Linked DNA regions of Rattus norvegicus. The protein of the gene in region 1 interacts with the protein of each later gene in a pairwise test. Links are inferred from orthologs where the notes say so. Each region holds a gene or a part of one and is shown on either strand. Other genes may lie near its edges. The genes, in order: Sufu, Hdx, Glis3 and Rcn3.

Evidence for each region.
Region 2: the proteins of Sufu (region 1) and Hdx interact in binary tests that used the Homo sapiens proteins (3 or more experiments, as listed by UniProt). The link is inferred for Rattus norvegicus from reciprocal best matches to the Homo sapiens genes SUFU and HDX.
Region 3: the proteins of Sufu (region 1) and Glis3 interact in binary tests that used the Homo sapiens proteins (3 or more experiments, as listed by UniProt). The link is inferred for Rattus norvegicus from reciprocal best matches to the Homo sapiens genes SUFU and GLIS3.
Region 4: the proteins of Sufu (region 1) and Rcn3 interact in binary tests that used the Homo sapiens proteins (3 or more experiments, as listed by UniProt). The two-hybrid records come from large-scale screens. The link is inferred for Rattus norvegicus from reciprocal best matches to the Homo sapiens genes SUFU and RCN3.

The regions. Positions count from the first base shown.
Region 1 is NC_086019.1:255,276,283-255,284,090, forward strand, and holds part of Sufu (suppressor of fused homolog), read left to right. Parts: intron 1-5,101; coding exon 5,102-5,236; intron 5,237-7,298; coding exon 7,299-7,437; intron 7,438-7,808. UniProt on the Homo sapiens protein: Negative regulator in the hedgehog/smoothened signaling pathway. Down-regulates GLI1-mediated transactivation of target genes. Down-regulates GLI2-mediated transactivation of target genes. Part of a corepressor complex that acts on DNA-bound GLI1.
Region 2 is NC_086039.1:80,742,878-80,750,685, reverse strand, and holds part of Hdx (highly divergent homeobox), read left to right. Parts: intron 1-3,777; coding exon 3,778-3,903; 3' UTR 3,904-7,808.
Region 3 is NC_086019.1:235,654,017-235,661,824, forward strand, and holds part of Glis3 (zinc finger protein GLIS3), read right to left. Parts: intron 5,332-7,808; coding exon 4,218-5,331; intron 1-4,217. UniProt on the Homo sapiens protein: Acts both as a repressor and an activator of transcription. Binds to the consensus sequence 5'-GACCACCCAC-3'.
Region 4 is NC_086019.1:104,701,122-104,708,809, forward strand, and holds part of Rcn3 (reticulocalbin-3 precursor), read right to left. Parts: intron 5,982-7,688; coding exon 5,779-5,981; intron 4,131-5,778; coding exon 3,958-4,130; intron 1,861-3,957; coding exon 1,800-1,860; intron 643-1,799; coding exon 443-642; intron 282-442; coding exon 174-281; 3' UTR 1-173. UniProt on the Homo sapiens protein: Probable molecular chaperone assisting protein biosynthesis and transport in the endoplasmic reticulum.

The DNA.
Region 1 (7,808 bases):
CCAGGAGACAGAGTCCCATGTATAAGTGCTTACATGTCTGCTGAGATGAAAAACATGCTGTAGCCTTGCCTGGGTAGCATTAGCATTCAGCCAGACATCTTGAGTATGCTCAGGGCGTCTTTAAAACAAGATGGAAATGTCCAGAGAGTGTACAGGAGGGAAGGCGGGTTTGTTTATAATTGGTTGGATGAGCATACCCAAACAGCAGTGTTGTCAGTTTGTCTGCACAGCCCAGGTCTGTTGTCAATTTAATCAACGACTGGACTAAAAATATCGATAGCAGGTAGATCATTTATGTGGATGACGTGCCGTCCAGATGGAATGCAGAGTTGGTGGAAGCCAGTCAGGCTGAGAACCATCCATGCTACCCGCAGCTCTAGCCAGATAATGGGGAAGTCTGCTCTTAGTGCCTGCCACACAATATACACTGACTGGACAGGACAGGAGAGGGCAGCATGTGGGGAAAACCTGATAAGATTTCGCTGAGGTGGGGGGAGCGCGAGAGAGAAAGCTGTATGAGTTGGTAGTAAGATGAGGAGGTTATAAAGAGGGACAATTTGATGACAGTTTTAATAGAAATAAACCGCCCCAGACAAGAGTGGGCACAGAGCCCCTGAGATCTGCCCTGCTTAGGGCACATACTGTATTTATGTCCACACATGCTACCTCACTTCAGGACATGGCACTCTAACTTTGACGAGTTCAAATGAATCCAGGGGAGGGTGGCTTGACCAACCTTGTCAAGGATGAAGTTGAAAGTTGGGGCCTTGTAGCCAAGAAACAGAGGCTGTTGATAGGATGCAAAAAGCTGCCGGGGAGAGATTGATTCAAGCAAGCACGGAGCTGCTTAAAGGCTGCTGGATTGAGATTTACAAGGGAGGCAGATTGCAAGGTGACTTGGCCACTCTCTCCCTTGGGGAGGAAAGGCCTTGAGGGGTTCTCTTTGCCTTTTTTTTTTTTTTTTTTTTTTGGTTCTTTTTTTCGGAGCTGGGGACCGAACCCAGGGCCTTGCGCTTCCTAGGTAAGTGCTCTACCACTGAGCTAAATCCCCAGCCCCTCTCTTTGCCTTTAATCTGGTCTTCCCAGTGCACCAATGGTTGACCAGGACCTGAAGCATTTAATCTTGGTCTACCTTTTAAGACCTTTGCTCAGTAGGGAACTGACCTGGCCAGAGGCAGCTGAATCGGGGCCCAGGATAAGAGCAAATGAGTTTCCATTAGCTCTCAGAACCATCACCAGTCTTTCAGGCCCCCATGCACTGTTAGCTGCCTTATCAGATGCATCTTGTTTAAGTATGACGCAAGTAGACCATTTATAACAAGTACCCTACAGCTACTTATTTCTATCTAGGGGTATTGAAGCTTAGGGAAATAGTTAAGCCCTCCAAAACACATGATGGAATCCCAGCACTGCAGCGACTGAGTCAGGAGAGCTGGCTACATGTGTTCAAGACTAGCCTGGGAGTTCAAGGGGTGGGTGCTGGGGTGCCTCAACAGATAGCGCACTTCCACAAAGCCTAATGGCCTGAGTGTGATGCCCAGGCTCCACGGTAGGAGAGGGATAGGTTATTTCTCTGCCGCTGGTGGACTGAGCCAGTCCAAGCCAGATTATATCAAAGGCAGGTTTATTGGGAAAGTTTGCTGGCCCCAAGAATTGAGGCCAGGGGAGTCACATGGGGAGGGGGAGGCAGAGAAAGAGAAAGGGCACACTCACAGAGAAATGAGAAGAGAGACCAAAATGTCTGGATTATATAGGAAAGAGAAGAACCTCTAGGAGAAGGGCAGCCAAGCCTTTGGGCTGGGAAGTTCAGGGAATGCCCGGGAGGGACTGAGGGGTGGTAGGAGAACCTGAAGGCAGGTCTACTTTAGTATGTAAAACTTGTCCTGAGTTCTGAAACCAGAGAAGTAACCCCTGTAAATTGCCATCTGATCTCTGCACACTGGCATATCTGTGTGACATGCATACACACAGAAGATAAATATCATAAAATTAAAAAATAAATGAACAGCCAGCCTGGGCTACATGGCAAATCTGTGTCTCAGAAAAGGAAAGAGGAAGGTCATTTGCTAAGGTCACCAAGGAATGAGCCCATGATGTGCCTCCTAGAGCATACTCATGGTCCCATGTCCCCTAGACCTCCCCAGTGGCTGTGGGTCATGACTTCCCAGAAGCCCCTCCCCTTTCCAGCCCCCATCCCCCAATAGCTCTGCCTTCTTTCACTATGGTGAACTCGGGGAGAAAGCCCAGCTGAAAAATTAGGCCATGCCGCCTAGCACACTACTTATTTTTTTATGACTAAGATTAAGCTGACAACCATGCAAAACATTGCAAACCTGTGTCGGCTGCAGATTTAATACCTCACCCAGCCCACACAAATAATTCATGCTTCTGCATCGATGTCCAGAAAAAACAAATCAGCAAAAAGCTGGGCTCGGCGAGTGTGAGGCAGCCGCCTTCCCATTGAAGCAGCATGCCGGAAATACCCAGGCTCCAGGAGTGCAGATCTAGCATTTTGAGTTTTTTTTTCTTAAAAGATTAAAGTATGTTTTCTCAAATGATTGAAGGTTGGTGGGAGGTGTAAATGTGGGCACTTGTCACATTAATTCCTCAGATGATTAAGCTCTTTGCTGCTTCTTTAGAGCTGTCTGCAGTCGGGTTTGCTGTCCTCCTTCTGGTGAGTGTGTTGTGGCAGTTACCAAGGTGACTTTAGCTGACTTTCAACAATTTATTTTTCCCTCTAGCTTGAGACTCTCTAGCCCTGCGTGCTGTGAGATTCTTCTCTCCCAGCCCCCACCCTACCTCCGAGGCTAGTCATCAGCATGTTTGCCTGGCCCACTGAGGCTGGAATCCTCCAGAAGGTCCCACCCCTAGCAGGCCAGGTCTGGGCCCCAGTGAGCAGCCTGGCAGCAGCATAGACTAGGAGAGCCTGTTATCAGATAAGAGTCACATCCTGGCTCTGCTCCTCAATCACTCAGTGGGGTTCAGGGCGGGGCTCGGTGGTAAAGCGCCTGCCTAGCATACACAAAACTCTGAGTTTCAACCCTATTGCCTCCCAAATAAAACTTTAACCTCAAGGTTATCTGTGCCCACTTTGGGGCTTAGAACGTTTCCTTCCTTGCTGGGAGGACCCAGTGAGTGCAACTGCGTTTTAACAGAGAGCCTGACACACTCTCTGAGGAAGCACTGGATAAACATGGTTGCTGTTGTTTCCTGTGTTCTGTTCTTGTTTGGGCCCCAGGGGTACCCCACATGTCATCTCTGAACCTATCCATAGTGCCTGGATGAAATGTGGAGTTGTTCTTCTTGGCTGCTGGCCGGTAGGCAGAGGTGGTCAGAAGTCCTTGGTTCCCACAAGCTGGCCTGCCACACTCGTGCTCTTTGTTTGGCCTTGGATATGTTTTCCTTTGCAAAGGAAAGAGGTAAATTAAACAGGTTGAGTTTCTTTCCGATCTTGAAATGCTGTGACCCTCTTGGCCAGTGTGTCTCCTTCACTGCTCTTGTGAAAGTGCTTGCCAAGGGAAAGGCAGTTCCCAAGGCAGCGCTGGGAACCACAGGAAGGGCTGCCTTGGTGACAGAGCAGTCATCTGGGGGTGGGTCCTGGGAGGAGCAGACAGCAGAGCTGAACTGCCCAGCACCTGGGGTGAGGGGCGGGCTGAGTCACTGCCTTGCTGCCTGTGCTGACCCAGCTGACCCAGGCTTTCCGCTGGGAGGGGATCTATCTGTCAGGTGCATCATTGACTAGAAGCCCCTGTGCTCACCCTCCCTTCGTAAATTGAGGCCTGCTCCTGGGTGACTGTCCTGCTCAGACATCCTGAGTAGCTCTTGCCTGCTGTTTGAATGGTTTAAAAACAAACAAAACCGAATGCTCTGAGCCTGGTATTTTCCTGGGCACTTAGAGAATTTTCTGCGTTTCACAAGCCAAACTAGAGTCCAGTACCCTAGCTGTGGGTTGAGCTATTGCTGGGGGTCTTAACTGGAAGGGACCTAAGGGACTGCAACAGCTTAGTGTGGCCAAGGTCACTGTCAGAAGGGATCTAATTCAAGGCTTACACACACACACACACACACACACACACACACACACATTGTTAACATTTCTTCTAGGCTCCACCCCACAGTTACCAGTTATACAGTTAGCCAGGTGTGCCTGACTCACTATAAAAGGAGCTGCTTGCCCCCTCCTCACTCTCTTGCTCTTTTACTCTCTTACTCTCTTGTCGTCCCCCCCCCTCGCCCCCGTCTCTCTATGTGCTCATGGCTGGCCTCTACAATCTCTCTCTCTCCCTTTCTCTGTCTCTACTATTCCTTCAACTCCCCTCCCTATGCCCTAAATAAGCTATTCTATACTATACCCATTGTGTGACTGGTACCTCGGGGAAGGGATGCCTCAGCATGGACCTGCAGAGGCACCTCCTTCCACCTCAGCATACCATGCCTCTACCAAACATTTTCCTGGTTCTTCTTTTTTATAAAACACAGCATATACCACCACATACATGCCACACCAGTGAAGCTCAGCTGAGTGTCACATAGGCACACACATCTGACTCCTAAGGGCCCAACATTCACCTCTCAGCAAAGGTCATGCTGCTTCCTGTCACTGCTTATGTTGCTGCCTGGCCGGGCCTTGTGCAGGAGTGGGCTCACTTAGAACCCTGCCAGGGTCAGCCAGCCTGACCTTGAGCCGCTGTCTGTGACACCTTGGAGAGCTGAGAGCCTCTAGGGCTTCAAGTCAGGGAAAGAAAAGCTCCTTAGAGCAGCCGTTGATTTCATAGGCAAAATAAGCAGCCGTGCTGTGAGGACTTTTCTGTGTTGTTGGCCAAAGATGTGGGCTCTAACGCCTGAGTGACTTCAGACCACATGCCAACTCCACCTCTTCATTGGCTGTGCAGCCTGGGCACTCAGCCCCTCCGTCCCAGTGTGCCCACCTTGTGGGGCATTAGGGGGAGTAGCCAGCCATTGAGAAGTGTGTGACACCCTTGGCTAGTGCTCAGTGAAGGTGACCCTTACTGCAGTTAACAGCCACCATAGGTGCTGACCAGGAATTCATGGAGAAAATCTCATTGGCTTCTCCCCTGGTCCCTATGTGCTTCCTTCACAGGAGCCGTAAGGACAGCTTGGGCAGTGACATCTCCACGGCTGTTATCCCCCACGAGCTGATCCGCACACGGCAGCTCGAAAGCGTGCATCTGAAATTTAACCAGGAGTCGGGAGCCCTCATCCCCCTCTGCCTAAGGTGAGCTGGACAGTACCTTCCACATCAGCCCCTCTGCAGTACCCTGCAGGCCTCAAAACCTCCACAGTCGATCTTCCCCCAGTACAACTCATGTAAGCTTTGGCAAGCATTTTACCAGACAGGCTGTCTGTGAGCGTCTGATGCCTAAGCAGTGTCCAGGGCTAGGGATGGAAGACAGACACTCAGGCAGCTCTGCCCTGGGCCTGTGTGGGAAACTGGGGACTCTGTGTCACAAGCCTTCGCAGTGCACCCTGTCTAAAGCTCTGGGCAGTGCAGGTGGTTGAGAAGTCTTCAGACAGTGACCAGGCCAGATGGCCTAGAGTTCATTCTCAGAGATTGTTCCGAATCTCTTAAGCTAGATCTGTGACAGCCCCAGTCACATAACAGCCCCCACTCCCCACCCCACCCCGCCTGTCATCTGGGGTTTGTTTGTTTATTGAGACAGTCTTACTACGTAGCCCAGGCTGGCCTTGAACTCAGAGAGAGCTTCTGCTTCTTCATGCTTAAAGATATGCACCCTACACCTAGGTTTCTTAACATCTGGTTCTCTAAGAAGTTTCAAAGTCAGACACCATGGGGACTAGATGTTGAGAATTCTCACTTATCTAGGAAGTGTCCTTCAGCTGTGCCCCTTTTGGGAGGTTCAGTGACCAAGAGAGTCTAGGATGGCCCTGCCATCCCTTAAGCTGGGTCACAGGTCAGGAGCAAGAGGGTTCTGACAGGTTAGGCTCTGCATCCTCCTGCTTGATGCTTTCCCATGCAAGATACTTGATCCTTGGGGCTGGAGAGATGGCTCAGCGGTTAAGAGCACCCGACTGCTCTTCCAGAGGTCATGAGTTCAATTCCCAGCAACCACATGGTGGCTCACAACCATCTGTAAAGAGATCCGATGCCCTCTTCTGGTGTGTCTGAAGACAGCTACAGTGTACTTATATATAATAAATAAATAAATCTTTAAAAAAAAAAAAAAAAAAAAAAAAAAGATACTTGATCCTTTACAAAAGCCAGTGACCAACCCCGCAGACTCCTTGAGGGACAGGAAGCCCAGCTGTGTCCGTTCTGCTGCTGTGAGAGTCAGCGCCCACGCTGTGGACAGGACTCAGCTCCGTTCAAAGCACTGCACTAGGCTGGATCTCTTGCAGCTGCCCCCTCCCAAACACTTTTGAGTTCCAACTTCACTTTGCAAACTGAGGAAGCAACAAGAATCCCTCTAAACTTGAGGGGACAGTGACTAGGAAGAAGTAATTTCATGGTTTGAACCCTGCCCATGGATCCAAGAGCCAGGCGAAGTAGGGGAGGAGTCAAGAGTTTAACCAGCCTTAGCCAACTGCCCTGAGAAACAGGGCAAAGGTAGCAAGTGGTCTGGGTGAGCAGGGCCTCCCAGGGCCAGCACCAGACTCAGCTGTTTCCTCCTAGCAGCTTCTTGGGCACAGGCTTGGACTTCCAGCCGGGGGAAGGGTTTATCTGAAGCAGGCAGAGAATGCAAAGCCAATTTTTCCTCCTTGGATGCTCGGTATCCCTGCCGTTGGTTGCCACTGCCTACCGTCCTCCAAGTGTATTTTCAGACTAGTGGTGACTTCTCGCAGTGACCCTGCTTGGCTTCAGATTTGTTTTTTTGTTTTTGTGTTTTTAAAGATTTGCTTATTGCCTCTAGGATAACTGTTTAAATGTTTCAGGAGAGCCCAGAACAAAAGGAAGATTGTTCCGGGCACTTAATATCCCACTGGGAGTCATACGTCCTTCCCTCTGAGCATACATACGGTTAACTTCCCTCTCTGGCCTCATTGTTCTCACCTTCCCTGAGGTTCTCTGAGCTCTGACCTAGCATCAGGAGCTAAAGGCAGGATGCCTTTAGTGAACTGGTAGTGGTGGCCTTTCACTGTTGTGCTACAATGAACATGTTTGTCATTGGTCACTAAAGTCCCCTGTTACTGAACAGGTGGGCCATCAGGAGGGCACTGGCCAGACGCTCCATCTCGGAACATTGCTCTGTAGCCCCAGCACCTTGGCTAGGGACTGTTGTAGGCACAGATCCCCACTGTCTCCATGTTCCCATCTCCAGGGGCAGACTCCTGCATGGCCGGCACTTCACCTACAAGAGTATCACAGGTGACATGGCCATCACGTTTGTGTCCACCGGAGTGGAAGGCGCCTTTGCCACTGAGGAACATCCTTACGCAGCTCACGGACCCTGGTTACAAGTGAGAAGCAGCTTTTCTTCCTTGTTCTTTTCCTTTCACTCCTCCCTTGCTGCCTGCCCTCCCTCCCAGGAGCTCTCTGTGGTACCCATGCTGAGCTGGGAGCTGCCTCTTGGATACAGAGGCTGTGAGTATGGATGCTGCTGTCCTCACAGCAGCAGGGCACTCCCTGGCCATTGGGAACCCAGGCGTGAGAAGTAAAGAACTCCCCATACTCTGGGAAGTCAAGACCAAGAATGGAGGGTGGGACATGATGGCCCTCTCCAGTGACTGTATAGACACCTCACCAGAATGTATAGGAAGTGAACTCTGTGACTAGAGCAGGCAGGTCCCAGTGGCCAGGGCTCTGCACTGACCAGTCAGTTGCTCCCTTT
Region 2 (7,808 bases), on another chromosome or scaffold:
TTCCAGACATCTCTAGGGAATAGGTTAATGTCTGAACATCCCATAATTCACCTTTCTTTCAAAGAAAGAGATCTTTGTTTATTTAACTGTTATATTGAAACACAAAATTCAAGCTCTAAGAGTCCTCTCAAAGGGCTAAAGCCAGCATGACTATTATTTATCCAGATTCATGAAGTTTACTCTTTCAACTCTGACCGTATATAGAGACCACAGTTCAGAAGCCTTTAGGTGCCTGGGCTAGTGTTAAATGTAGTGCTTCATTACACACGATACACATTTCATGGCATATTGAAAACATGTTTATAGAACAGTCATGGTGGCTTATGCCGTCACTCCAGCACTAAGGAAGCTCAGATAGTACAAGCGCTGTGAATTTGAGTTCAGCCTTGGCTATAAATTGAGAATTTACCTTAAAACTAACAAAAGCAAGCAGAGCACAGCAAATTTTAAAAAAAGAAAACAAAGTTTTTTTAAGAACCTAAAATACAGAGCTTTTTCTTTTTACACACACACCCACACCCCCCCCCACACACACCCACAGGTTTATTGGTAAGCTACGCTCAGTCCAGGCGGGTTCACTGGCCCCAAGGAAATCACCATGGGAAGGAAGAGATAGGAGAGGGGGAAAAGAGAGAGAGAAAAGAGCATGTAGCTAGGGGTGGAGAGAGAGAGAGAGAGAGAGAGAGAGAGAGAGAGAGAGAGAGAGAGAATTGATTTTTAAATGAATACGAGTGATAGTATTGAACACAACCCCAATAGTATTATAGCTTTAAATAGCTGTAGAACACATGAACGCACGCATGCTAGCACACACAAATAGACTCCAACTTTAGACTAACTTATAATGTATTTCTTGTCTGAAAATGTATAAACTCGTAGTCTGAATTTCTACTTCTAACTTCAGCTCTACTTTCATTCTTTCCCAAGGATTACTAACAAATAAGAGAGAAACATGCATGTTGCTTTTCTTTTTCTAGTTTTCTTCTGATAAAAGACTTGTAAAGTAAGATATGAACAAAACATGGGCTGAAATAGAAAAATGATACCACATTATACTAAATGTCACAGCTTATAGAGTCAGCAGCCTAAATAAAAACTGTGTTATTCTTGTACTTTTAAGTATAATGAATTTCAAAGTAATTTCTCCAAGCATAAAAGACACTAGGTATGGTGGTGACACACACCTATAATCACTTAAAGACTTGAGACAGGAAGGTCATGTGTATAGCCTCTAAGCAGAAAAATAATTTACACACACACACACACACACACACACACACACACACACACACACACACATGATACTAGTAGTGATAAACAAAAGTAATCCAGTTTATATCTTAAACTGATGATATTTCTGGAAATATACATTATCCTATATGGTAAAATAGAAACACTTGCCATTACCTTCTTATTTTTAAAAGCTATACAGTATTTCTTTCATTAATCTTTATTTGGATAAGTTGGATAAGTGATCTATGGGATATTTTGCCCCTATAAAGAAGTCCAGGGTTTAAAAATATATATGGTACTTCCCAACTGAAACATTAGATTACCTAAAGGTTGTCTTTTTAAAATCAATAATAGCCATTTTAACATCCAGATAATGTTGCCAACATTGCTCTAAGTCATTAGTTATGGTCTTTCTTCCCCTGATAATTCACTGTGTGATCCTAGCCAGATCGATCGCCTTTCTTAAACTTCAATTTCTCCACTCTGCAAGGAGGATAAGAATGATTATCAATTTTACATTCACATCTTAGAGCCTAGAGTAAGTATTACAGACACTGAGCGTGTATTTGGAGAAAGTGTTAATGATCTCTTGGGAAAAATGGCATTTGGTCAGAGCTCGAAAATACTTGTTACTGATGAAAAACATGTAATAAAAAATATTGAGGCTGTAGATGTGAATCATTGACAGAGTGTTTTTCTCAGAGTAAATGAGACCCTGGGTTCAATCTGCAATATGGGTGATGGGAGAAAAGAAGACATTTAATTGTGTCTACTTGTATCTTTGTGAAAAGGGCAGTTTCAATCATTGACAAAGAGTTGTTTAATGTCCCCAGTATTTCTGTCCAGTAAGATATTGAAATAATTTTGCAGTGAAATCCATGCATCAACAGTGCTATGAACTACCTCATATAATGAACATTTTAAATTCTATTCTCAATTTTAGTCAGTCAACTGTTCTAATGAAATAAAGAAGAAATAAATAATACCACTTCTCTATTTTGGGGGTCTTTCGGCTAGAATTTAGAATATCATGAAAATTCCTAATTCACTTGATTTCCCAATCTATGAAGCTCATATTCAATCAGTGCCAATTTGAACATCTTTCCATTATTAACATGGTAGAGTAAACACTGCAACATGAACTGGATCTACTGATGTTACATTCTGAACAGCCTGCATTAGCAAAGGCCCCTTTGTACCTGCACTGGATCAGCAGTAGTAGCTCAGTGTCCTAGAAGAAATTGGTATGTTTCAATTACTGCAACTTAGTACCTCAGAAAGCATGTGGTGTCTTCAGTATACATCCATGGGTAATTTAGTGATACAAAAATAAATTATAACTTTCTCCACATATGTTAGTTTTTTCTTATATAGCATGGCAAAAACTAGAATGTTTCCTTCTTATTTGCTTGCCACAAGGCAAAAATTATATGATATATAATTGTCACTATTCTATTGAAGAAGAGAATCAGATCTTATTTCAACACTATATTTCTTATGTTTCCCCAGCATGCCCTGGCCTTTCTGCTCCTTAATTGGGTTCTAGTCAGCTTTCATTTGTTTCTATTCTCTTGCTTCTTGTTTACTAATCTCCCCAAACCCACAATACAAGTAATGCTGTTGAAAAATTTCCTCATCGACTATGGTATTTTAGGTCCAATTTCTTATGGTTAAATGGGTAGCAGCATTGTCAGCCACAAACAACTTGACTATTTCTCTAGTATAGACACATGTTCTACAAATACAGATGAAACAATTAGAACATGGGTAAGCTTAGCTCATAAATGTTGGCATATCCTAATTGTTCCAGTAAAGAAATATGCCAATACATCATTAAAACAGCCATATCTTATATTGAGCTATCCTTAGTGGGTGCTTTGCCTCCTGTATGGACAGTCTAAGGAAAGGAAACAAACAAATAAAAACTCCACATGGTCTTTTCCAATTGTTAAACTTTTATCTATAGTAAAATAGAAGAATTTCTCCCCTGACTGTTACATTTATTCTTTTAACAAAACAAAATAGGTCTTTGTTAAAATGTGGGTTTCCTTAAAGGGCAATGAAGCATGAATATTTCCAATAAAGAAGGAAAGGGAATGGTAAGCTTTTTATGAGTAAGCAGTGAACACACAAAACTAGCATGAAAAATACTTGCTTCAATCACTTGAAAACCCTTTGCTAAGGGTCCTTGGTTTGAAATAGTTGTTAATGTTTATAACCATAGTACCTTCTGATACTGGCATCATCAGAATAGCTCTTCATTTCCTTCTTGATTTCCCCTTTGTCTAAGATTCTACTCTACTTGGCATCTACTATTTTGTTCTTTCCTAATATATGAAAACTTACTGTTTTAGGTAAGGAATTGTGTAAAATCCTTAAAAATAAATATTTATCTTTACTAAAATAATAAATAATAATTAATAATAACATTAATAACAATAATAAATTAAAAGAAAAGAACTACAACTATCAACATAAAATTGTCAAAAAAAAAGGCCTTCTCCTTACCAATCTAACACAATTGATTTTTTTTTTTTGACATAGGCACTGCTGTCAGATTTACCTCCAGAATTAGAAGAGATGGATTTCAGTCATGCCTCACCAGATCCTGATGATACCTCATTCAGTGTGTCTTCATTATCAGAGAAAAATGCCTCAGACAGTTTGTGATTGGGGGTGGGAAAGATGATATAGTCTCTTGGTTGCCTAACTGGTGTGTGTTTCAAGATAACTGTACTCTGTTTCCCATATAGTCTTCAACTGGAAAAACACATTGTTAAAACAGACGTATGCTGTGAAGGAATGACAAGATTTAATGGCTACAGTACAAAAGAAGCATGTAAAATACTTGAAATGGTTTGTTTTTAAAACTTATAAAATCCTAGAAAATTATAAATTTTGACCAACTCAGCTATGAAATTTATTATATCTGACTTCTGAAAGGTTTTTTTTTGCTTATTCTTTAAGAAGAATCTTAATTTTATTCAGAAATATAGAAATGAGCACATCTCAACATTACTAAGTTGCTAACACTTGGTTAGTATTATTTTTGTAGCCATTACATCTTTCTTCCTACTTCATTTTCTTATGATTCATATACATTTTTACTCAGGAAAGTGGGCTAAAATTTTAAAACAGACCTAATCATATATTTAACCTGGATGAATCCTGGGATTTATTTTTCAACTCCTATGAGAATTTGGCCTAAGATAATGATTGAAAATCGAAGCAATTATAGGATGTAATTTTAAGTTATTGGTACTCCCCTGACACTGGGGAAAGGGGAAAATCCTCTGAAAAGTCGACTCATCATCAAGACATTTAAGTACACAAAGACTGTACTTTGTAAAAAACACTTTTAATCTCAATTCTTGTATAAAGTGAGTGATAGTATTGCTGATTCATATTCTACCATATAGTAAATTTATATAATTGAGTCAGACAAAATATTGCACAAATATTCAAGTTTACCAACATTTTCTTAATATTTTTCATATCTTAAAATTTTTGAAACAGGAAATCAAAGTATGCCACTGATATTTGGTTGTTTTTATTTAATTCTAGACATACAACCTTGCCACAAAGTTTACCTCATTTCCATATGAGGCCTGCACAGAGCCAACAATAATGTCAAAAAAAGAACTATAGTACTTTGATTATAGATCAAAGACCTGAATCTCCTGGATGCTATTCTATGAATACACACCGAAAATGGGCATGGTACCCAGTTGTTACTATTAGTAGGTACCAAATGGCAGCAGACTGTAGACATCTTTTTGCATCTCCCTTTCTGGAATACCAGATGGCATTACTAAGGTCTGTAGATGGGAAAATACTAGTTTCTGCCTAAACTTACAATGTCATATATTTGTAACTAGGTTGTATGGAACTATATTACACAATTAAATTATTATCTATTCCCAAAAGATGCTTGAAGCATCTGTAAAACTGTTTCAATTGTCAACTTTCAGATAAGTTTCTTAACTGCAGCTATTCTGGTCTCAGAATTTACTGATACCAATTTATGATTACAGAAAGACCCTCATAAATCCCTTTAGCTCAGAAATGTCCCTTCTCATCGATATATACAAGTAAAGTTCATTGGTGACCATTCAGTTCATCAAATGTTTGATTTTACACTGTTGCCACACAACCTCTATGGCTTCCTTGTCAGCAGAAATATTTCAGTAGTCAGCTAAACATGTCCTTTAACTGAGAGTCATGTGGTTCTTTGCAAACAACTTTTGGTATTCCTTGCTGACAAACCAAATTCCATTCAGGGGAAAGACTACTGAGCAACAGAAGCTCAAACATTCAGATTAAGCTCTTCGGTCACATAAATTTCTCCATAAAATAAGAGTCCTCACTCTATACAACAAATACCAAATCCATTATTTTATGATATGGAGAATTAAGACAAATTCTCCAGTAGCTCAAGCTGGCCTTTAACTCCCAATATAGCTGAGGATGACTTGGAGTTCTGCTGTTCCTGCCTTTGTTTCCCAAATGCCAGGATGGATTTCTTTTATTATGAGCACATTTATAGTCTCATGTCTCTCTGTGACTTTCTTTCGTGTCATTGAGTTTCTCTATAAACTTAAACTGCTTCAGTTTAAGAATCTTCGTAGTTGGTTTTCATTGCAGAGTAAATCAGGTGAGTCTTTCCTATGTGTTTTAACACACAAAAATTTATTTTTCACATCTTAGAAATGTGTCACTACATTTAAAAATATCCTTAGAGTTCTCACTATAGGAAAGATATTGTGCCAGACGCTGGATTTTTAAATAATCTATGGACTATAAAAAATTATTTCAGCTGGGTACTAGGACACATAGCGATAACTCCAGCACTGTGTAGGCTGAGGAAAGCTGGCTTCAAAACACAAAGAAACATTTCCTGTTAACCTTTTTCTGTCTGTTAATAAAAGTTTTTCAAATGGCAGCTATAATTGATTGAAGGATTCTTATAGATGTGATTCTTAGAAAGAATCTTACATCTCTAATTTTGGAAGGATGTATAAACTGTTCTATTATTCCTATTTAAAGTTTCATTCAAATAGAAGCTATGTGTCCTAACAGTCTAATAGGACTACTTTTATCCTGGTGTATTTCTTCTAGCCACAGGATTATATCTTTTATGAACATAGGAATTAAAACATTTAAAAATTTTAAGTGGCAGAGTTCTTTTGTTTTGTTTTTGTTTTTAAAACATTTGTTCCTTTTATTCACAAAACATAAGACTTACCCCTTTGTTGAATCTCTTTTCTTTATGATTTTACACAAAGGACCTTGAGATATATCAATTATAAAACATGTCAAAAAGAAAGCATCTTTAAAAGTTTACAAGTATGTACTTATACAATCCATCAATGTAAAAAAGACATTGGATTGAATGTAAGGTATGTTCAGTTGTCATTAGAATTATTTTTGTTCTTTTGGAGACTTTTCTCTCCTCTGGTCCTGACTTCTCTTTGATTCTCTATCTGCTAGGTTTTTCGCAGTGTCTCTTGGCACCATTCTGACACCTGTTGTCATCGTCATCTCCTTTATGACCAGAATGCTTTCTACTCCTCTCCCCTGGCTTGGAGTGATCTTTTCTTCTTATATTATCACTGTCTTGATTTCATGTTCTTTGTTTCCAATTTTCAGAAAAAGAATCTTCACTCTTGCTGCTTCTTCCCTGGCTCACCATGCTTGTCTTCTAGCTCTCTGTGCGAGCCTTGTTCTCTTTCTGCCATTGCCAACTCTGCTGTAACTATTCTCACGGCTTCTGTCCTCCATGGGCTTTGCTAGGGGATCTTGCCAGTCTGCATCTCGTGAGTTCTGCGCTCTGTGTCTTTCAGACCTTGCTCTCTCAGTCCTCCCTTTGGTCCTCCCTGACTACTTCTCACCTCCTGTCACGTGTCTGGTGGCCCCTGGCTAACTTATCTACTCTTTACCTCTGGCCTTCTCTTGTCTCTTCTTTCTTGTACCTTTAGCTGTAGGAGGAGCAGTCACTTGCTTCACTGGATTACTCTAAGCTGCTCTTGCTGCTGTCAGAATCTGAGTCAGAGGGATCAGACGCCAAGAAAGACTCTGAAGAATGGAGATGTCAAGATTGGTTTCTTTTGCTCAGCTTCTGGTTTCTGGACTACAATCACCTTGGGCGTATTTTTCAGATGTTCTCGAAGTTCATTTATCAAACCTCAGAGACCTATGGAAGTGAAGAAATTGATGGCAAACTGGGTATTATGTGGGTTGTCTTGGAGTAACAGTCCTTCAAATAATGACTGAAGAGTTTCATCCTTTAACCTCGCATTCAGTTTATGAAGTCACATGTATTCACACAGTTCCTGGAAGAAGATCTTGACAAAAATCCTACTAGATGATGTCACGGTCTCTTCACTCAGCTTTACACATTCGAGAACACTCCATGGAATTGCATCTGTATATAAAAGGTGAGTAAACATCTTAGCAATATTTCTCAATTTGTCTCTAAGCAATGAATGCTGTTGGATTGTATCTTGAATATACTTTCAAATAATTCCATGTATTCTCTTTTTTGCATACAAAACCACCCAGCTAACAAGCCAAAA
Region 3 (7,808 bases), about 20 Mb from region 1:
AATTATAGTCAAATATTTTCCAAAGGTCCTCTCTGGTCATGTAATTGTGGTAATCAAATCAATGCCAAATCTTATCAAAAATAACAAAATAAAGGTTGTAGACGGGGAGAAAACTTTACAACGGATTTACTTTCTCTCAAAAAATATCTTTTATGGCCAAAGCTGGCCCATGACCATACATCAGGCCATAAAAGAGAGCTGGGGACATGGCCCCAGCTCTGTATTTATTTTCTTGTGCTCATAATCCAGTGTTACTTAAAAAGCAAACTGCCCCATATCCAAGCCAAAGCAAATACGCTGAATTTTGCCAGAAAAAATGCCTGTGGAGAAATGAGTCAATTCATACAAAATTTAAAACTGTCTTTGGTCAGTGACATTTTCATGAAAATTTGTGGGTGGGTAAAAGTTTTGCAAAATTCATTTTGCTATTGGATTAAATTCATCCAGGAAAAATAAGCAAAATGTAAGTGGCAACCCACATCGCCTCTAATTCCTCCTTAACACTCCCAAGGCTTTCAATTGTGCAGGAAAAGAGGCCCCGCAGTTCTGGACCTGAACAGAACCTGGGCCCCTGCTCACGGAACAGGCTGCTTCCCAGCATAAGCGCTCATGGACCAAGCTTCTCCTGTCATTCAGAATACACTTCAATGCCCCCGGGAAAACACTACTGGGCACTGAGCACCCCTGAGCTCAACAGCCAAGAGGCCTCCCTAGAGTGAAAGCCTTTGACACATTCTTTTGGAACCACCACTATGGGATCCTTTAGGAATGATTTGATGCTCTTTGTTATCCTCTTAGGGGCACAGAAGTGGTTTGGAGCTTGTGGGGGGGAGGGGAGGGACAAGTTCTAACTCTTAAGACTTGTTCTAAATTGAAAATCAGGCACCTCCTCATCTCAGAAAGACTTAACAAAACTTGACTTAGTGACACTTGGGAATGGCCTACAGTCAACAACCTAAGATTTACCAAGGAGAGAGCTGCTGAGAAAGCAAGAAGGTAGAGAACATTGGTGGGCACCTAGAAACCATTTAACTTAACAAACATGACTGAATGTACTTTAAAATACAACCTTGCTACATTTGGGGTTCTGATTCATTTGAGATCTGCCTCTCCACCTATTGAGGCCTTTGCGTTGCAACACTTTGCCACTGTCTGGAACTGTCCACTTCATGCAACCAGGACTTTAAGGGCAGGAGCCAGTTTGTCTTTCCATGGGAGCAGTCAGTGACAGGTGGGGCTGTCTGGATGAGAACGAGACCCATCCTTTTCTTCCAATAACAGAACCAAATCATGAATTCGGAATCTTCCCCTGGCTCTGCTTTGTTCCCAGGTTCCGGGTTAGTCTGCAGCCTCCCAAGGTTAGCAATGATTGATAAAATGCGTTCTCCCATGGAGAATAAGTAACTTGACAACAGGGGGGATTCCACAGTAGTCTCTTACTGTAAAGCAGGCATTGGCCCTGACACACCCTCCTTTTACCATAATTTCCAGAAGCTCTTAGTGTTACTTGTAGTCATGGTCACCAAACACGTATCGGTCACCATTCCATTTCTTGGTTAAATAACCCGGTAGATGAAAATGATGACTAAGTCTGAATGTCATCCACACAGGAGAAATAGAAATTAGATATACTTGAAACAAAACAAAACAAAACAAAACAAAACAAAACCAGACTGTCCCCTAAAATTCAAACTACTTCTAGGTTTTGTAGCCCCCCCCCCCAAAAAAAAAAAACCGAAGACCACTTCTCCTAAAGAACGTGGTCACCTTACCTGACATGGCTCTGGTTTGGGGTAAGCTACCTTCAGATTTCAATGCAATGAAACACTTCCCTGTTGGAAGTTCTGTGTGCCTGGATCCCGTGAGCTTGGGAAAATTCCCTCTGCAAAGGGCAGGAGGATGCACACTTCAGATGTCCATCCCCCCTTAAGCACAACACCTTCCTGTCTGCAGACTACAATCTGAGATGTCCGCCAAGCCTTGCCACTGCAAGACTGCTTACTGCCAGCACTCTACAGGGTCACATAGGAAGCACATGACATGTAGCAACATTAACAGTCTTCAGAAGATAGAAGGTTCACGGTATGTACGTTGACATAAAAATGGGTCTCTTCCTGTTAAAACCGTACACTCCCCATGGTGGGAGATCATAGCATCAGTAACCCCTATGTACCTCTGCTTTATCTAAATTTGCACACAGCACGTGAGTGGTTTACGATTCTAGTCCTGCTGCTGGATTAGTAAGTTGTGCACGTGTCCCGCCTATGAATGAGGAGAGGGCAGATTAGGAGAGCACAGTTGCCTCATCCGCCCGTCCTGAATGACACAGTGAATGGCCACACAGGCTCACCGCTCAGCTGTTCTTCCCCTCGACTATTTCTAATTTTAATGTTCACTGTGCACTTTAGCAAAAGTCAACTCTGCAAAGTTTAATGTCTTTGAAAGCTCTGGGACCCGAGGAGAAAATGGGGAAACCCTTTTGCACAGAAATTAATTTTGAAATGCAAAAAAGTTTTTTTTTTTAATATAACTCTAACTTTAATGTTTGTTTCAGTAAAGCCAAATCCAATGAACTATTTTCAGCCGGGAGTTAGTCAGAACTAAAAGGTTGGACTGTTTTCCTTCAGAGACTGGGTGTTTCTCCTGCTTTGCCACAGGCCCCTGTGTTCCAAACAGAGTAAGCAGGATTGCCCTCAACTGCTTGTCTCTTGTTGTGGCATTCTCAACACAGAACCTACTGACAGCATAGAGTTCGGCCTCCTGGAATGAAATTACTCTTTTCACTCAGAACCTAACACTCTCACAATGCATCCGCTTCAGGTTTTCCATGAGGGAAAAAAAAATCACAACATGGGCATAATATAACGACGAAAAGCACAACTCCATTCCACCGGAAAGCCTTACAGCTCTTTCGAAAACACCCACAGTACGCGGTGAAATGGCTTCTGACTCGTGCATCCCAGAGCTCACCTTCGTGGCACGCTTTTGCATCGATCAGAGCTCGGCCAACCTACAGTCAATTGTCAACACAGTCCACACGCTTTGTATCACAACCCGCTCTAGAGATGATGCTGGCAGGGAGGATCACAGTCAAACCCGTTCCTCTCTGATCTGGTTTATATCCATCCCTTATCACTGATCTCCAGAACTCTCGATATTAAGGGAGCACATAGGAATCTGGGTTCTAACTCTGAAGAACTATTCCTGGACATCTAGACTAATAGAAAAACGTATGTTCCTCCCTCCCTTCCTCCTTCCCTCCCTCCCTCCCTTCCTCCCTCCCTCCCCCCACTCCCTCTGCAAGAGTTCAGTGAGCCCTCTCAGACTGTGCAAAGCTATCTCTTGTGATCCTGAGGGTGAAGTTCTGCTTGTAAGCCCCCGAGGGCTTCTTCGAGGTGTGAAAGTGTGGTGAAAGCATTTAAGAATCAAATTATTCAAAAACAGTCAGGTTTGCCAAGAAACAGAATCAGGGTTGCAGGATCAGTGTTGGGAAGGAGGAAGGCAGGAGAGACAACAGACCCATGTGCTTCAACACCAAAGGCACAAAATCGTCTCGACCCAGGCTTTATGCTTTTCCACAAAAGTTATCTTTCCTCAAAATTAAGCGAGATCCTACAAGGCCCTGTTCCCGTGGTGTCTCCTTGGTGTTTCCTTGCTGACTGCAAATCATTAATGAGTCTCGCAACCCTAGAAGATACGACGTGTACGCTGCTACCTCGATAGTCAAGTTCCTAAGTGGAGAATTCCTATCTTAAATGTCAGCCACGCCCCCAGATCCCAAGCCTCGCCTAAATTTTCAGAGGTTTAAAAAACAAACTGATTATTTACTTAGGAAAAGAGGAAAAAAAAAAAAAAAAGCTTGCTTGTGGCTCAGTGAATGGTGCCCTACATTTCAACAGCCATGTAGTCAAGGGAATACGGAGTCTGTGTCCTTTCCACAATCCCAGACTAAAGCAGACTAACCTCCACAACAATAGTGGCATGGGGCTTGAGATAGAATGGGAGAAAAACCAGCACCATCAAAGGAAACTTTCCCTTACACCAGCTAGAGGACGAGGCAAGAAACCTAATAAAGTACCTTAACCACCACACATTCAAATCCCACAGAAATAGAAACTCTTACCTGCCTTCTCGGTCCTGTTGGATAAAATGCATGCGTGAAAAGTAAGCTGGACCTTCAAGACAGGTGGCCCAGGACCTCGGAAACTCCAACTCACCGTACACTTGTTGGGCTTCTCCCCAGAGTGGACCCTCATGTGGATCAGCAGTTTATATCGTGCGTTGAAAGGCTTGTATCTTCTAGGGCAGCCAGTCCAGAAGCACGTGAAGTCTTCCCCCTTGCGCTGGTCTATGTGGACCTTCTCGATGTGCCTCACCAGTTCCTCCTGCTGGTCATAAAGGGCGCTGCAGTCTATCCAACGACAGCAGTGCTTACCCCCTGAATCTTCCAGCTCCCCATCCTCTTCCAGGCCAGCCTGGGCCAGGGGCAGCGATTGAGTGTGAGGCAGGAGCTCTGGGTGATGAAGATGTGGATGGGCATGGTATGGGGGTGGGGGGCCCTGAGGCGGGGGAAGAGGGAGAGGCGGTGCAGAGGGCAGGTCCAAGGCACTGGCCGGGAACTCCTCCAGGCGCTCAGTTTTGAGCATGTTGGCTGTCTGGCCATCCTGGCCCGGTAGGCCGGGCTGCAACACCATGCTGTTTCCAGATCCAGGCTGCAGGCCACCGTGCTCCAGCTGCTGCATGCGTTCGTACTCCAGTGTGCCATCCTCTCCGTAGCCCGGCAGCGTATGCCCTCCACTGGTAACCAGCACACCTTTCTGCCCGCTGGACACTGCGCAAGACTGGGGGATGCAGCTGCCACGGACACCCAGGAAATGCCCATAGACCTCCGACTGCGGAGACATGTTGGCTGGGGAGGCTCTTGATCCATTGATGTAGGCCACCAAGGATGTGGGTGAAGTACGGATGATAGTATTGAAGTCAATCCCGATGCCGTCGGACAGCGGGGACAAGGACAGCGCTCTCTTTTTGGAGCGGGTGGAGTGGGGCCTGGTTGCTGAGTGCCGAGGACTGGGGTAAGGAGAGTGGCTGTTTTCCATGCCGAAAAGGTAGGGTGGCAAGGAGTTAGAGACGCTGTTGCCAGACACTGGCGTGCCCGGAGGCAAGCTAAGAAGGTCCCCTAGGTCCATGCCATTCTGGGAGCTGTGGTTGGATGAAAGTGAAGGAAAACCCCTGTAGCTCTGAGACCACTCTTGCTTCACACTCAAGGCCGACTGACTCTCTGTCAGGCTCAAAGTCGTGGACACCAGAGACTCTTGCAAAATAACGGACCTGGGGCAGCAGCCAGAGAGAAGGAAGGAAAAAAAAATTTTTTTTCAGTGAGATGTGGATTGCTTAAGAGCTGGGAGAACACTGTACCAACAATCCCTTAAGTATTTCCCCTAATTACATTTGCCAATAAACACAGATTCTTGGACTATGATAGAATCCCAGGCTTTTTAGTTCCAGGTAAACAGCATTTTACCAAGCAAACAAGAGAAGCCAATGCTTACTAGGATAATAAAAGCTATCGTTATAACTAGTGCTAGTACTTTAATGAGAATAAATAGTCCCCACCTTATTTCAAAGTAATTTTTTATACAAAAGGGGGAAATTGAAGACTAGGAAGAAATTATAGATGCTTGTTGCAGCACACCAAATTAGTATTTGTTAAGCACCTACTGTGTACACCATGTTGTCATAGGTTTTGCAGGTCATACACTTCTCAACAGCACTAGTGTTCAGTTTAAATCTACTTGGAAAAGTGACATAACCTCATTGCTTTGTTTGTTTTTTTAAAGGAAATCTTACAAAACAAATGTTGTGCTAGGAACTTACTAAAACTTTTACAATTCCATTTCATGGATATTGTCAAATCAGACACTTTTAAAGGGCAATTGACAATGTGAGTACGCATCCATTTCTATCAAACATTTGTGGAAATGTAAAAATACAGGGGCACAAAGTATACCTCAAAGATAAAGTGCATACTTAGCTTGTGAGAAGCACAGAGTTCAGTCTTTATCTCACAGAGAGAGAGAGAGAGAGAGAGAGAGAGAGAGAGAGAGAGACCTTAATAGAACAAAGCTACGATACATAAAGAGAAATGGACTGGAGAGCTGCATTTGGAATCACTCATCAGGCCTTGTGGGGGCTAACCACACTTGTTAGATGGGTTTCCCATGAGCTCTTGTCCTTGTATCCGAGAACAGGTCACTCACTCGCAGTGATTCATTTTTACAATTCCTTCCTTGTCCTTACCCTTTTATTTATATATATATACATATATACATATATATATATAAGCTAAATATGTCACAATCATTGTTTGCATATCAAAGTGGTTCATTATGGTAACTCTAGCCCCTTGAAAATTCATACTGCTTTCCAAGGACATTATTGCCTTAAAATAATTTTTAGTTAAAAACAGTAAAATTAAAGCTATGTCCCTGGAACAAAACATTCATGCCCCAAAAAGGATCAACCTGTAGACACATAGAAAAGGAACCAGATCCCAATCCAGAAGCCTCAGATAGCTTATTCACATGCATCTGCAGCTGGCTTTCCAGAATGCTTTATTTAAACAGACTAATCACCAAAAGTTCTTATATAAACTGTGTGACTTCTCTAGATGGACTCATTTACTGTCTCCAGGCATTAAATGTCAAGCTGTTGTAAAGGAAGGAGGAAGCTTCATTTCACCTGTCCCCTTCTTGGCTTCACAAAATGGAAACCAGGAACACTGTTTGTGCCAAGCCTGGGGTATGTGAAGAAAGCGTCTAGGCTCAGAAAGTCACAGAAAGGTGGTAGCAGACACTGTAATGGACCCGAAGGCCGGTGGGTATGGGGATGTTTACCAATGGTGGACACAGCAGGAACCTGTGTCCAACCACCCTTGATGTAGATTTGTCTTTGGCTTTTCTCACGTCCTTACATTTGGGCTAAAGTCCATCTGCAAGTGGCTTCTGCACAGGTTGGATTTTAATTCCCCTTGGACACATCTCAATTATTTTTTGAGCACACTTAACAGCATGGGGCTCTTCCTGCAGAGCTCAGCAGAAAACTCTGGCGGCTGGATGTCAAGAGCCTTTTGACCCTACCCCCCAGTGAGAGGCAGAAATTACATTTGGACACAAGCTACATCGGTGGAGATGCCATATATGAAGCAGAGACAAATGACTCTGCTTTTCACCAAGGTCGAGGAACTACGGAGCTTCAGAAGACTGACAGGGCTCACGGTGGTGGCCATTTTAGAACATTTCAGACTTCTAAGCAGCCAAAGTAGCTTGTTCAACTAGAAGTACTTCGCTGGTGAAATCACACTTTTTGGCTCAAGGGCAGCCTAAAGAAACAAGTTCATTTTTCCAATCATAGAATGCGAATCTCATTTCTCTTAAACTAGACTGAACTTTGCTTAATTTATAGCACGACATAACTTCCCATGGACATGTTACTTCTTCCGCATCTCAGTTTTCTAAACAGTCGTCAAATCATTTTCAGAAAGCAAACTGGATGAATGGTGTGAACACAGAACTAGCTCGGGCCCCTCCCTGCCTCTGACACCTCAGATACCGAAGAGGAAGAAGACCTATGTCTCTCAACAAAGGGCTGTGGAAGACCTAATCGTTCAAAGTCCTACCCCTGAGAACTATCTTTAGTAAGCGTCTGCTTTGCAAAGCAGCTCCACCAGCTGCACCACACTCTAAGCAACTGTGAGGTGCTTCCTCAGAAAATGTCAAGCCCTTTCGATGAAAAGGATGACTTTTTAC
Region 4 (7,688 bases), about 150 Mb from region 1:
GGGGGGGTACCAGGGCTGGTGACAGGGGTCTCTGGAAGAGAAGGTGACTGAGGGCCCAAGAACCAGGAACACCAGAGCTGAGTCTGTGTCCTGGAGGGAGGGGCTGGCTGCAGTGGCCCCCCGCAGTTGCCCCCATGTGGTCATGGGGTCAGAAGTCTGAGCAGACCGGGGAATCAGAGCTCATCGTGGTGCCTTGTCAGATCCTCACCGTAGTTGGTGGCCTGGCTACCCACAAACATGTTCCAGTTGCTTAGGATCTCAGCTTTGCTCAGTCGGCCATCCTGTGGGCAAAGGGGTCAGCAGGTGGCAGGGCCCACATGGGACCCTCCCCACTCAGGACGTCCCTAGGACCCCTCCTCCGCCTTGCTGCTCTCCTCTGGGTCTCGTCCCCATCTGTTTCTCTGGATGTGTCTCTCAGTCTCTTTCAGTAGCCCGGACTCACCTTGTCTGTGTCGCTCTCATGCAGCAGGTGATTGGCCTCCACCAGGGGCTGGTCCTGGGACGGAGGCAGCACCCAGTAACCGACTTCACTGCCGTCCAGCCGCCCATCCTTGTTCAGATCCCGGAAGTCTCGGAACTGCTGCCTCTCTGTCTGTACCCAGGCCGGTTCCTCCTCCCCAGGCTCCGCAGAGTACAAGTCCGCTGGAGGGGATCAGGGTGGGGGAAGATGAGGTCTGGGGCAGCCCTGAAAGCCTGGGAGACCTTCATCCTGCATCCTAAGAGCCATCTTCCTTGAGGCGTACTCCACACCCACACACCTCCCACTCTTTCCTCTCCAGCCCATCTGCACACACACCCACACGCAAGCCGCCAGCCCCCTTGGCCATCAGTCAGTCCTCCATCTTCTGTCAAATTTGTGCCGGGGAATAAAACATGTTATTTTAAAAGATTTAGAGGGCTGGACAGATGGCTCAGTGGTTAAGAGCACTGACTGCTCTTCCAGAGGTCCTGAGTTCAAATCCCAGCAACCACATGGTGGCTCACAACCATTTTTTTTTTTTTTTTTTTTGGTTCTTTTTTCGGAGCTGGGGACCGAACCCAAGGCCTTGCGCTTCCTAGGTAAGCGCTCTACCACTGAGCTAAATCCCCAGCCCCGCTCACAACCATTTGTAATGAGATATGATGCCCACTTCTGTGTGTCTGAAGACAGCAACAGTGTACTCACTCACATACGTTAAATAAATAAATCTTAAAAAAAAGGGGGGGGGTGGGGATTTAGCTCAGCGGTAGAGCGCTTGCCTAGCGAGCGCAAGGCCCTGGGTTCGGTCCCCAGCTCTGAAAAAAAGAAAAAAAAAAAAAAAAAAAAAAGGAATCGAAGGTGTTCTCCACTTCATAGCAAGTTCAAGAGGCCAGCCTGAGTTACAGGAGACCTAGCTCAAAAAAAGAAAAAAAAATTTTTTTTTCCTAAAAGCCAGCAAAACCGTCAGATTTTATCCTCATCCCTGAGTTAAACAGCCAAGGCCTAGCACAGGGCTGGCTGTCCAGGTTAAAACACTTGAAATAGCCCCGGACAGGACAACGGGAGACAATGCTATGGAAACAAGACAAATCTGGAGCCTGGTACAGCCAACAAAGCCAAGCTGTTGAGCCGTGGCCATTGTAGAGCCCCAGGCTGTCCCAAAAGGGCATCTCTCTCTCTGGTGCTTTCTGCAGGTTCCCCATGAATGCTCCCTGGGCTAGACATGCAGTAGACTCTGCACACAGTGGGGGCTTGATTCATGCAGCATGAGGCATGAGGACCTCAGCTCCCCTTGATGCCAGGAGATGGCAGGCCTCAGGTGAGAGCCGGCCTTGCTCACCGATGTACTCTTCCACCTGCACGTAGCCATCTTTGTTCTTGTCAAGGTCCTCCAGGGTCTCCTGGGGAGAGGCATTGGGGTGAAGGGTCAGTGTACATACAACTGAGCAATGTCCACGGGGAGGGGGGGTCTGTGGATGTGACCAGATGTGCTTGTGTCCAGTGTGAAGCAGCCAGGAACCCCCATGTCCGACCCTGCCCAGATTTGTCTGTTTGGTTCTATGAGATAGGCTCTCACTGTGTAGCCCTGGCTGGTGTATAACTCACTCTGTAGACAAGGCTGGCTTTGAACTGAGTCCAGCCTGCTTCAGCCTCCCAAGAGTTGTGTTCCGCTACAACCAGCTCATCGATAATGTATATTTAAAGATTTTTTTCTTTTTAATTTTATGTGGGGCTGGAGAGATGGCTCAGTAGTTAAGAGCACCGACTGCTCTTCCAGAGGTCCTGAGTTCAAATCCCAGCAACCACATGGTGGCTCACAACCATCTGTAATGGGGTCTGATGCTCTCTTCTGGTGTGTCTGAAGACAGCTACAGTGTACTCAAATATAATAAATATTTTTTAAAAAAATTTATGTGTGGATGTTTTGCCTGCATGCCTGTGTACCACGTGCACACAATCCCTCCAACATCAACAAGGCCATCAGACCCTGTAGAACTGGAGTTATACCAGGGCTGAGAAAAGAACCCCAGGCTTCTGTTGGAACAGCTAGTACTCTTTTTTCTTTTTTTTTGGTTCTTTTTTTCGGAGCTGGGGATCGAACCCAGGGCCTTGCGCTTCCTAGGCAAGCGCTCTACCACTGAGCTAAATCCCCAACCCCACAGCTAGTACTCTTAACTGTTAGGCCATCCCTCCGGCACATGGACTATTTTTGGCACATGCACCCACATGTCTACTCTTCATGTTATCTGTCCTAATTTAATAAATGGTTTCTGGTTGGGTGGTGGTGGAACATGTCTTTAATTCCAGCACCAGCAAAGCAAATCTCTATGAGTTTGAGGCCAGCCTGGTCTACATAGTGAGTTCCAGGAAAGCCAGGGCTACACAGAGAAAGCCTGCCTCCAAAGCTCAGATAGATAGATAGATAGATAGATAGATAGATAGATAGATAGATAGATAGATGGATGGATGGATGGATGGATGGATGGATGGATGGGTGGGTGGGTGGGTGGGTGGATGGATGGATGGATAGATAGAATCCACTTCTTCAAGTTCAAGAGCTCAATAGTCACTGAAGATTAGCAGTGGACCCTAAGAGACAAAACAAATTTATAAGATCCCTGTAGTTGCCACACAAGCACGAAGATCTGAATTGCATTACTCAAAACCTGCATAAGAGGGGCCTGGTGACCCACACTTACCACCCCAGAGCTGGGAGGCAGAGACAGAGAGATGCCGGGGGACAGCTGGTCAGCCAGCCTAGTTTAATCGGCAAGCCCCAAGTCTTGGTCAATGTCCAGTCTCAAGAAGCAAATAGCAACAAAGTGTGGAGCCCTGGCTCTGAGGTGAGGAGCACCCGCTGTCTCAGAGGATCTGAGTTCAGTTCCCCGGACCAGTGCAACTCCAGGTCCAGGTGGTCCAGCACCTTTCATGGCCACTGCAGCACCTGTACGCCCCACCGCCTTCCCCGTAAGTACGTTCCATATCTAGTATCTGAGATTTGATTAAATCACAGCATGCTGGGCTGGAGAGATGGCTCAGAGGATAAGAGCACTGACTGCTCTTCCAGAGGTCCTGAGTTCAAATCCCAGCAACCACATGGCGGCTCACAGCCATCTGTAATGAGATCTGATGCCCTCTTCTGCTATGTCTGAAGATGGCGACAGTGTACTCACATACATAAAATAAGCAAATCTTTAAAAAAAAAAATCATAGCCTGTTATATGTGAATTTCAAATAAACTGTGTTTTCCTGGGCTCTGGCCACAATTGGTGTTCACCTGAGGCATCTTTTTAAGATGTTGTGTCTGGGAACAGGCTGGGGACCAGACATCTAACAGGAGCACAGGAAGGACTGACAAAGAGGTACCAGGTACTTGATGGGGAGTAGACACGGGATAAAATGCTGTCCCACATCTACACTGGTGGCCTGGAATCCTTGTGAAAGCTGCTGGGACCCAGGACAGGTTTGGGAATCATGCTCTCTGCAATGAAACTCACTGCCACCACGATGTCCCGCATGTGAGGGAACTCCTCAGGATGCAGAAAGGCCGTCAGCTCTTCCCGAGTAGCCATGGAGTCCCCATCTTGGTCAGCTACCCGGAATCGGCGCTCATCCCGAGCCAGCATCTTCTTGTAAGTCTCGGCATCCTCCACATCATGAAATTCCTCCCCTGGGGAAGGACAGATGTGGATGAGATGCGTGGTCACAGAGGCGAGGCCTGGGGCCTTAGGGAACAGAAGGACTCAGCTAGCAGAAGGCCTGCCACAGTGTGTAAGAAGTAACACATGTCAGTCACATGATGGGTATGTGGGCAGGTCTGTCATTCTCATCCTTAAAAGACTGCAGCAAGAGAATTGCAAGTTCAAGGTCAGCCAGGGTAACTAAGCAAGACTATCAGATAGCCCAGCAGCGAGCCCCTGCCTAGAATCTCCCAGTGAGGGGCTGCTGTGTGGCTCAACCATTCCTGGCAAGTGTGAGGCCCCAGGTTCAATCCCTAGAGATGTAAAATAATAATTTTCACGTGTAATATACTCAGCTTCTTGTATCTGGCTGTAACACAGTCAGTGACGTCACAGACTGGAGCTTCACTATGTAGCCCAGGCTGACCTGCAACTCAATGGGTAGCCTGTTAGTTCACAGAGACCTGCCTGCCTGCCTCTCCCTCCCAGTGTTGGGATTAAAGGGGAGCTGCACCATTCCCACTCCCCAGGCCCCTCTGTGTCCCGTTTCCTACAATGCTCTATGTAATCCTCACACAAAGCCAGACTGTTGCCTTTTCCATTTGTCCTCTTTTCTGAAGGTGAAATGACTGGGCTCTGAGCGGACACTGGCCTGGTTAGCCCTGAAGTTCTTTCCTGATACAGCAAGTGACTGGCTCTAACTCCATGACAGAGGCAGGGAAGGGCTTCTCGCCAAAGGAGGAACAGCGTAGGCGAAGTGCAAAGTATTGAGGAGATCGTGGACTCCACCAAAGAAACTGGGGCAGAAACCCTATGAACACAACATTGCTGGTGGGAGAGGCTAAGGAGGTAGCTTGTCTGTCTCCTAGGGTCCCTGAAGCATGGAGGGAGTCACCTGTGCCATACCTATCCTTGAGCTCGGGGCTATCCTCCTGCCTCCTCTACCCCACAAATGCTGAGACTGTAAGCAAGACTGAAGAAGACAGCTAGCCAGGGGTGCTGGCTAATTTTATGTCAACCTGACACGCAGGTCAGAGTCATCTGAGAGGAGGGAACCCTGATTGAGAAAACACTTCCATAACACTGGGCTGTAGAATAGTGGTCAACCTTCTTAACGCTCTGACCCTCTAATACAGCTCCTCAGGTTCTGGCGGCCCCCATAGAATTGCTTTGTTGCTACTTCCTAATTGTAATTTTGCTACTGTTATGAGTTGTGATGTAACTATCTGATACACAGGATAGCTGATATGTGAACCCCAAAGGGGTCGGGACCCACAAGTTGAGAACCAGTGCTATAGCTAATTCTTCAGTGATGGACACAGATGTGGAAGCAGAGGCCAAAGAAACCTTCTCCTCCCCAACTTGCTTTTGGTCCAGTGTTTCATCATAGTGACCCTAGCTAAGACACCGACACTGCGTAGGGATACCATCTCGAAAAGAAACAGAGATCAGGGGTCTGGTTAACAAGACGGTTAAGCGTTAAGTAGTTCCTGCCAGGGATGTGAAGTCTCCAGTCAACTTGTCACATAGGCTGGAGTTCAGAAGGAAGAGCAAATGACATTTGAAATGGAGGGAAGTATCAGTGACAAGATCCTAAAAGCGAGGTCATAGGGCAAAGGCGAGGTGGGCATACCATACCGGGCTCATAATGGCCATAGGTGGCATTGCGCAACTCCTCCCAACCCACGCGCCCGTCGCGGTCCGTGTCGTAGGTGTGCCAGGCTGCGCTCACCGAGTCACGGATGTGCCGCTGCTGTGTGTGCGCAATCCACGCGCGGAGCTCAGCTAAGGACACCCAGCCATCGCTGTCCCCAGCAAGGTCCATGCGGTCTACAATCCGCCTGCAAGGAGAATGAATGTCAGTCTCTGGTCCTGCCCAATGAGGCCCTGCCCCTAGAGTAGAGATGCAGTCAATCTCAATCCTGACTCCGCCCACCAAGGCCCCTCCCTGTCATGTAGAGTCACCCTTGCCCCCACATAAGACAAAAATGGGAACTTAAGTGATGGCTTAGCAATTAAGAGCCCTGGCTGCTCTTGGAGGAACCTGAGCTTGTTTCCCATGAGCCCCACAAAACAGATCACAAGTATCTGTAACTCCGGTAGCAGGGGATCCATTACCCTCTCGTGGTTTCTGTGGGCACAGATAGGTTAATGGTTAACATACAAACATGAAAGATACCTACACTCATATAAATAAATCTTTTTAATTAAAAAAATAAAAAAGGGGGTTGGGGATTTGGCTCAGTGGTAGAGAGAGTGCTTGCCTAGGAAGCGCAAGGTCCTGGGTTCAATCCCCAGCCCCGAAAAAAAAGAAAAGGAAAAAAAAATAAAAATAAAAAATAAAAAAGAGCAGGCCTTTCATTCCAGCACTCGGCAGGCAGATCTCTGTGAGTTCAAGGCCAACCTAGTCTTCAAGACACAGCAGCAAGGACTATTTAGGCAAACTCAAAAAAAAAAAAAAAAAAAAAAGATTGTCGTGAGAGAAAAGAAAAGAAAGGAAAAAATTAAAAGAAAAATAAGAAGGCTAGAGAAACAGCTCTGTGGTGAGGAGCACGGGGTGCTCCTTTAGATAGGTTCAATTCCAGCATTCCACATGGAAGCTCACAACTGTAACTCCAATTCCAGAAGATCCATTGGCATCCGTGTGGTACATATACATGTGCATGCAGGCAAAATATCCATATACTTAAAATAAAACAATTATTTAGAAATAAAGATAGATAAATAAGGAAAAAAAATGCTACCCAAGATGTGCAAGCAAACTGGTGGTGGGACTCCAAATAAACCAAAGAGAGGAACTGTCTGTTTTTGTTTGTACTATTTAGCGGATTATTGGGGGTTGTTTGTTTGTTTGTTTGAGGGCAGGGTCTCATTATGTATTCCTGGCTAACCCGAAACTCACTCGGTAGACCAGACCGGTCTGGAACTCACAGAGATCTGCCTGCCTCTGCCTTCCAAGTCCTGGGATTAAAATTGTGAGTACAGGACCAGGAAGAGCATCACCATTGATAGGATTCACCCACACTATGTCTTTGCCCATCCTGACTCCGCCTCTTGCCCCTAGCCACACCCCTCAGAAATGCTGCTGTATAGGCTTGGAAAGGCAGTAAAGATGCTAGGTGAACTGAGAGGCACCTGTTAATCTCAGTGCCAGGCCCTTCTAAAAGCCTGCCATCTTCACCTAGCCTGTCCCCTACCGGAGTCCTAGAGACTTGTATTAGCACGTGGCACAAACAAGGTCCCACCCTCTACTCTAGCCCGGTCCCCTAAGCGTTACATAGACCTTCGCTGGACTGAGCTGAAGTGTGAACAGTGAGCCCGGCCTCTAACTGCACCCCAATAGGAGAATGCTACTGTCTCTTGAAACTCCACCTCTCACTATCTCAGGGCCCGCCCCTCTTTCAAGCCCAGTCTGCCAGTGGACTCAAGCTCTGCCCACTTCCCTAGGTGGGCAGATCAATTTTGGACTCCTCCCTCTCCAGCTCCACCCTGCTACCATTTGCCCAGTTTAAAATTAGAAATTGTCAGGTTGGGGATATAGCTCAGTG